2 linked regions of the Cricetulus griseus genome follow. The protein of the gene in region 1 purifies or fractionates together with the protein of each later gene. This does not show direct contact. Links are inferred from orthologs where the notes say so. Each region holds a gene or a part of one and is shown on either strand. Other genes may lie near its edges. The genes, in order: Lsm14a and Eif4enif1.

What was found.
Region 2: the proteins of Lsm14a (region 1) and Eif4enif1 purify together in Homo sapiens (affinity purification with mass spectrometry; 3 studies listed by BioGRID and IntAct, with this or other methods). This does not show direct contact. The link is inferred for Cricetulus griseus from reciprocal best matches to the Homo sapiens genes LSM14A and EIF4ENIF1.

Annotation. Positions count from the first base shown.
Region 1 is NC_048602.1:4,108,873-4,113,113, forward strand, and holds the start of Lsm14a (protein LSM14 homolog A), read left to right. Parts: upstream 1-1,306; 5' UTR 1,307-1,479; coding exon 1,480-1,600; intron 1,601-4,241. UniProt on the Homo sapiens protein: Essential for formation of P-bodies, cytoplasmic structures that provide storage sites for translationally inactive mRNAs and protect them from degradation. Acts as a repressor of mRNA translation. May play a role in mitotic spindle assembly.
Region 2 is NW_023276807.1:101,695,237-101,699,042, reverse strand, and holds part of Eif4enif1 (eukaryotic translation initiation factor 4E transporter), read left to right. Parts: intron 1-1,021; coding exon 1,022-1,197; intron 1,198-3,806. UniProt on the Homo sapiens protein: EIF4E-binding protein that regulates translation and stability of mRNAs in processing bodies (P-bodies). Plays a key role in P-bodies to coordinate the storage of translationally inactive mRNAs in the cytoplasm and prevent their degradation.

The sequences.
Region 1 (4,241 bases):
GGTGCTGTGCGCGTGTAAAGCTCTGTGTGAGGAGGAGATGCTTCCAACAGCACGGAGCTGTGTAACAAGGAGCTAAATCCATGCTCTAGCAAGGAGTCTGCTTTTCGTTTTGTGTAACACGGAATCTGTGGAGAGGACTGAGTAGGGGAGAGGTGTTACCTGACTTGAACAAGAGGCCGCCATCTCTTGCTACCTGAACGTGATGCCCGGGTGTGGCTACTGTGGAAGAAAACCTGGCGGGAGTTTAGAGAAGCAGGGAAGTCTTAGGAGGCTGTTGGCAGCCATCGTGGCCGCAGTCTCTGGGGCTTCTTGTGGAGCCACAGGGATGGGGACCGTCTAGACCGAGAGACCAACATTTACAGTGTGTGCGTGTGTGTTACAGCTACAACAGACGGGGGTGAAAGAGGTCAACCTAGGTTAGTGTGTGTGTGTATGTGTATGTGTGTGTGGTGAGTGTATGTGTATGTATGTGTGTGGTATGTATATGTGTGTATGTGTGTGTGTATATGTGTATGTGTGTGTGGTGTGTGTGTGTGGTGTGTGTGTGTTGGTGTATGTATGTTGTGTGTGTGGTGTGTATGTGTGTATATATGTGTGTGTGTATATGTGTGTATGTGTGTGTGCTGGGATGTATGTGTGTGGTGTGTGTGTGTGTGTATGTGTGTATATATGTGTGTATGTGTGTGTGCTGGGGCGTGTGTGTGTGTCTGTGTCTGTGTGTGTGGTGTATGTGGTGTGTGTGTGTATATGTGTATATGTGTGTGTATGTATGTGGTGTGTTGGTGTGTGTGAGAGAGACACGGGGTGGACAGCGGCCTGACCGCGGTGACCGGCAGGCGGGCGGCCCTGAGGCAGCGGGCGAGCGGGCGAGCGGGCGCCGACAAAGACCCGGGGCTCGTGACCCGGTGCGTGCAGCCCGCCTGGAAATGGCGGAGGCCGCGGCCGGCGTCCCCAGGCGGGATGAGAGGGCGCTCGCCCTCCCGCTCGCTCGCCCTCCCTCCGCGTCCGGTGCCGCAAAAACAAAACAAGCAGCCCAACCCCAACCCCTCCGGTGTCTCGGAGCAGCCCGACCGCTCGGAGCGGAGGAGCCGAGAAGCGGAGACGCCGGCGCGGCCCCGGGGACCCGCGAGCGGCCGCGGCGGGGCTCGCCCAGTCTCGCGCGAGGGCGCGTGTGCGCGTGCGCGCGCCGGGCCTCGCCCTCCCAGCATGCCCCGCGCCGCCGCCGCCGCCGCCGCCGCCGCCATCGCCGCCGCCGCGCTGCCGCCGCGCCGCGGGCTGAGGGCGGGAGGCTGGGGGAGGGGAGCGGAGCGGGCGCGGCCGCCATGTTGGCTGTGAGGAGGCTGCTGTGAGGCGCGGACGGAGCGAGCGGGAGCGGACGGAGCGGACGGGCGAGCGGGCGGGCGGGCGCAGCGCGGGATCTGCCTGAGCGGAGCGGGCGAGCCGGGGCGGGCGAGCCGGGGCGGGCGAGCGGCGGGCGCCATGAGCGGGGGCACTCCTTACATCGGCAGCAAGATCAGCCTCATCTCCAAGGCGGAGATCCGCTACGAGGGCATCCTCTACACCATCGACACCGAGAACTCCACGGTGGCCCTCGCCAAAGGTGCGCGCGGGCCGGGCGAGCCGGGGCGGGCGGCGGGCGGGCGGGCGGGCGGCCGGGCGGGGCGGTCCTCCGGGGAGGCCGCTCCCACACAGCGAGCCACACAGCGAGCGGCGGGCGGGCGACGAGGCCCGGGGCGCGGCCTCCCCTCTCCCGGCTCCCCGGAGCGGCTCGCCCTCCATCCGGGGCACCAGCGCGCGCCGCCCGGGGCGAGCCGGGGGCGAGCCGGGCCCAGGAAGCGGCCGGGAGACCCCCCCCCTCCCCCGGCTTCGCGTCTTCCAAGACCGAAATCCGGCCGTTCCCGTCTTCCGAGCCGCCCAACAAAGCCGGGCGAGCCCGAGAAGCCGTCCGCTCGCCCCCGAGTGCAAGTCCCGGGGAACGCGCTCGAAACTTCGGGGGTGCGTGTGTGAGTGTGAGTGAGTGTGAGATCGCGGAGGGCCGGGGCCCGCGCGGACGGGCGAGCCGCTCGCATGGGCTGCTGACTCCTGCCCCCGCGATGCGATGCTTACCTGTTACACCCGGATCCTGTGCAGACGTCTCGTGAGGGGCGCGCGTTTCAGTGCTCGCCCGCCTGCTCGCCCGTCCCCCACGGGCCTCTCTCTCTCTCTTTCTCTCTCTCTCTGTCTCTGTGTGTGTCTCTCTCTGTCTCTGTCTCTCTCCCCTCTCTGTCTCTCTCTGTGTCTCTCTCTGTCTCTCTGTCTCCCCTCTGTGTCTCTCTCTCTGTCAGTCTCTCTGTGTCTCTCTCCCCCTCTCTCTCTGTCTCTCTCTCCCCTCTCTCTGTCTCTCTGTCTCTCTGTGTGTCTCTCTGCCTCTCTCCCCTCTCTCTGTCTCTCTGTGTCTCTCTCCCCTCTCTGTCTCTGTCTCTCTCTGTGTCTCTGTCTGTTTCTGTCTCTCTCTCCCCCTTCTCTCTCTGTGTGTGTCTCTCACTGTCTCTCTGTCTCTCTCTCCCCCTCTGTCTCTCTCTCTGTGTCTCTCTCCCCCCTCACTCTGTCTCCCCCTGTCTCTCTCTCCCCCTCTGTCTCTGTCTCTCTCCCCCCTCTCTCTCTGTCTCTGTGTGAATCTGTCTCTCTGTCTCTCTCTGTGTGTGACTCTCTGTCTCTCTCCCCTCTCTCTGTCTCTCTGTCTCTGTCTGTCTCCCTCTCTCCCCTCTCTCTGTCTCTCTCTGTCTCCCTCTCTCCCCCCCTCTCTCTCTGTGTCTCTCTGTCTCTCTCTCTGTGTGTCCGTCTCTCTCTGTGTCTCTCTGTCTCTCTCTGTCTCTGTCTCTCTGTGTCTCTGTCTCTCTCTCCCCCCCTCTGTCTCTCTCTGTCTCTCTCTCTCTCACCCCCGTGGACAGGGAAGCTCAGGGCTGGAGTGTTAACGGGTTGGAGGGACTTGTGGTGTTAGAGGAGGGGACGGGCCTCCCCTGCCCCGCACAGCCCGCAGCGCCCGCCGCACAGTCTGCGTGCGGGTTTTGTTTCCGTCCACACGTGCTGGCCTCTGCCAGGAAGGCAGAAAGAAAATAAACTTGAGCTTCTGGTCTCAGAGGAAGTGGCCCTACAGCGGTTTGCAGGGAGCACTCTGGGAGGAGGGTTTAGTGTTTGCCCCGCCACACCTGTGGGACTGTGCAGATCTGCACGGCCAGGAGGAGAGGAGTGAGAGCGGGTCTGATGGTCAGCTGAGAGGGAGGTCGCTCCACAGTACCCAACAAGCTTTGGTGACCTTTGTTTTTTTAAGCTGTTTTGTAGGCCCTTTTAATAGTATTTGTTTGGGGACGAGTTGACCTAGGTGAGATACTTTTTTTTTATGTTGTTGAACACCTGATAGGGATTAGGAGTTCACCCGATTGACAGATGTCTCAAAAGTGGGGAGATCTGGATTCCATCCCCAGTACCACGAAAACCAATGCTTTAAAAAGGTACGCTATGAAAGAGTAGGGTGCGATTTTCCACATTTTGACTTGTGGTGAGTGATGCTTGTGTAACTTTTGGCAATTTGCTTTTAAAGCATCCTTGAATCACTTAAGTTAAAAAGTCTGCTTTTTAAGGAGCAGTATGAAGCCTGCTGCTGTGACGCTTGCTTATTATAGTCCCAGCTATTCCCAAGGCTGCTTGAACTGAGGAACTTCGGGCCTGCTTAAGCAATACAGGCAGGTCATCTTTGTTTTGTTTTGTTTTGTTTCGTTTTTGGTTTTTTTTCGAGACAGGGTTTCTCTGTGTGGCTTTGGAGCCTGATTTGTCCTGGCACTCGCTCTGGAGATCAGGCTGGCCTCAAACTCACAGAGATCCGCCTGCCTCTGCCTCCCAAGTGCTGGGATGAAAGGTGTGCGCCATCAACGCCGGGCCAGGCAGGTCATCTTAAAAGGCAGAAAATACAGGTGTCTCAGTTGATAGAATGCTTGCTTATTGTCCATAAAACCCTGGGTTCAGTCCCAGTGGGAAAAACTGGGTGTGGGTGGTACAGGCGTAATTGCAGAGGGAGGGGGCGGCAGGAGGTCAGGCATCCCAGATCTCGCTGAGAAAAGACAAAAACTCAAAAGCCAAGGAAGGAGTGCCCCAAACTTCCTCTTTGCCTGGTGGAGTACTGTAACACATTGCCTGTTAAAGAGCCTGCTTTTTACACACTCACTGTACTTCAGGATGTACAGTTCTCTTCAGAAATTTAAATT
Region 2 (3,806 bases), on another chromosome or scaffold:
TTTGTTGGGGGTTTTTCAACATTTTTATTTGTATGTATGTATGTGCTGGTACCCTAGCAGGCCCAAAGTGCCATATTGACAGACAGTTATGATGCCTGATATGAAAGGGTGCTAGAATCTGAACTTAAGGTCCTCTGAGTGAGCAGTATGTGCAATTAGCCACTGAGCCATCTCTCCAAACCATGTTTGGGTGTGGCGGGGGAGCAGGGGCATTACACACTTGCAAATAAGTGGGGTTTGTTTTGTTTTTTCTGTTTAGCTCATATTTTGTGTAAAATTAAAATGTTAGCAACTGGTGTTTTGCTTAGCCTGTCTTCCCATCCTAAAAGAAGTTGACATTACAGATCTACCTGGCCTTGTAAAATAAGACTGAGCTGATTAGACCAGGTTATTTGTCTGTAGAGATCTGTTTCACTAGAGAATTGCTCTAATAACAAAATTATATGAAGGGCAGCAATTAATGTGTACTGAGTAGATCAGTGTACTTTTTAGAATCTTTTTTTAAAGGTAGGGTAGGCTTCCAGGAACGTTTGACAGTCAAGGTTTACATTGGTTGTAGGCTACAGCCAGCCTTTTATAGGCAATTAATTTGATTTCAGAGGCCCAAGTTTATTTCCTTGTATCCACTACAAAAAGCTGCTCAAAAATTCATATATGTGTAACTCTTCAAGAAGAGCCAGTGCCCTCTTCTGGCCTTCCATGATACCTGCACACATGTGCCATATACTAACACACAATTAATTAATTAAGTAGTTGTTTGTTTTTTAAAGACATATTCAGGACTGGGGCCACAGTCTTTTTCCTGCTCTATTGAAGTTCAGGGTACTTAGCAATGACTTCTCTTTTCTAGTTCCCAGAGAAGTGATAGTAAATGCTTTATTATAGGAAGTGTAGTACCAGCACAAGAAGTCTATTGACAGTTGTGTGTGGTTCTTCTGCATGTGTATTGATAGCTAAAGGCACAGAATGAGACTGGAGTGTGTACTTCAGCAGGTGGTTTCTGTCCTGGTTTTGTTTTCAGGCATAGTGGAGTGTAATGGAGGTGTGGCCGAAGAAGATGAAGTGGAAGTTATCCTGGCCCAGGAGCCCTCTGCTGATCAGGAAGTCCCAAGGGATGTTGTCCTACCTGAGCAGTCCCCAGGAGAATTTGACTTTAATGAGTTCTTTAACCTTGACAAGGTGCCGTGCTTGGCTTCGGTGAGTATAACAGCACATTTTCAAATATAGATGATGGCTTGATGGATAAAACCCTTGCTGTACAAGTTTGAGGACTGAATGAAATTTAGATTTTTAGGATCCAGGTAAATGTTGGGGCAATGTGTTGGCCCTCCTGTAATCATAGCACACAGAAAGTGGAGATAGGATTGTTGGAGCAAGAGTGCTAAAAGAACTAACTAGCTGTGTTTGTAAGCTGTGAGTTCAGGTGACAGACCCTGGCTCAATTTATAAAGTAGAGAGTAACTAAGGAAAATGGCAGACATCAACCTCAGACCTCCACTTGCATATGTGCATATGCACCCAAACACATGTGCACCTACACACAGGAGCATACATACATACATACATACATACATACATACATACATACATACATGTGCATATGCACCCAAACACAAGTGCACCTACACACAGGAGCATGCATACATACATGCATGCATGCATGCATGCATGCATGAACGCGCGCGCGCACCACACACACTTGTGCAAAATAAAAATAAACATGCATGGAATCTGGGTACACACCTGTAATCTTAGCACTTGGGATACTGAGACAGAGGAGTTTGAGTCTGAGGTTAGCTAGAGCTTTGTAGTCATTTCAAGGCTAACCTGACTGCATAGTAAAACCTGCCTCGACTTTTTTTTTTTCTTAGTTAAAAAAGTACATAAGAGGGCTGGAGAGATGGCTCAGAGGTTAAGAGCGCTGACTGCTCTTCCAGAGGTCCTGAGTTCAATTCCCAGCAACCACATGGTGGCTCACAACCATCTATCATGAGATCTGGTGCCCTCTTCTGGTGCTCAGGCAAATATGCAAGCAGAACACTGTATATGTAATAAATATAAGTGAAAGAAAGGAAGAAAGAAAGAAAGAAAGAAAGAAAGAAAGAAAGAAAGAAAGAAAGAGAAAGAAAGGGACAGCTAATTATGGTTAGGTTAGATCTAGTATTTTCTCCTTTTTTTTTCCATAGAGGGGTATCTTTTGTTTTGTTTTGAGACAGGGTCTCACTCACTATGTAGCCTTAGCTGAGAGATTGTTATACATTTGCTTTACAAATGCCAAGATTAAAGGTATGTACTACATGTATGTATGTATGTATGTATACGTGTGTGTTATGTATGTATGTATATATATGAGTCAACCTCTTCTAAGGACAATGGAAATATTATGGCTCCCAGCTCCTTCACCAGCTGATAGTTGAGAGGATACAGCAAAGGATGTCCTGATTCAGAAATCAGCTGTGTCCATTTCTTGTGCACATGAGGTTCTCCTGTCAGAGTCCCTACTTCATCATCTGTTAAAAATGACCAAACTGTTAGGGTTCCTGTTGGACTCAAGCACCTTGTTTTTTGAGATGAATATCTCCACAAATGTGTCTAAGAGCAAGTTTGTTTCTACTCTTGAATATAACATTTTGCAGTAGACAAAGTTGGGGGCTGGAGAGATGACTCTGATCAAGAGCACTGTCTACTTTTGTAGAGGATCTGGGTGTGATTGCCAGTATTCACATGGCAGCCACAACTGACTCTTAACTCCAGTTCCAGGATATCTGATACAGTCCTCTGGCCTCTGATAGCACTGCATATATATGGTGCAATGACATCCAAGTAAAACATCCATAGTGTATTAAATAATTTAAAAAAAAAAAAAAAGCCAGGTGGTGGTGGTGGTGGTGCACATCTTTAATCCCAGCACTCATGAAGCAGAGGCAGGCATATCTTTGTGAGTTTGAGGACAGCCTGGTTTACAGAGCGAGTTCCAGGACAGCCGCAGAGAGACATGCAGAAGACTTGTCTTCAAAAAAAAAAAAAAAATACAACATTGGTAACTGAGCAAAACATAGAAATTACTTTTTCCACTGGGTGATGGTGGCACAGACCTTTAATTCTAGCATTAAGGAAGCAGAAGCAGGTGGACTCTGATTTCTAGGCTAGACTGTTTTACAGTGAGTTCAGGATAGCCAGGGCTACACAGAAAAGCCCTGTCTTGAAAAAAGAAAAAACTTTTCTCCACAATTACTTTAATTTCTTTAGAAAGTGACCAGATACTTTGTCCTTTGTGTTTTGACTTTTCCTATTTAGTAAGATTATGTTAGATAGATTGAAAAGCAGATAGATTGAAAAGCTAAGCCATCATTTTTTATTTGTAAACTAAAACTTTTTTGTTTTTGTTTTTCAAGGCAAGGTTTCTCTGTGTAGCTTTGGAGCCTTTAGCCTGGCACTCGCTCTGGAGACCAAGCTGCCCTCGAACTCACAGAGATCCGCCTGCCTCTGCCTCCCGAGAGCTGGGACTAAAGGTGTGTGCTACCAATATCCAGCTAAACTAAAACTTTTTTAATAGATTAAGAATTCTACCTTTAAAATGTTTTTCATATGGGTGAGTGCTACAGTGCATATGAGGAGATCAGAGGCCAGCTTTGTAGATTTCTTCTACTTTACGTGGCTTCAAGTCATCAGGCTTGCACCAAAGTTGATGCTTTTATCTGTTGAGCCATCACTGCCCCTAAAGTTTCTCCTTTTTTTTTTTTTTTTGGTTTTTTTGAGATAGGGTTTCTCTTTGTAACAGTCCTGGCACTCGCTTTGTAGGCCAG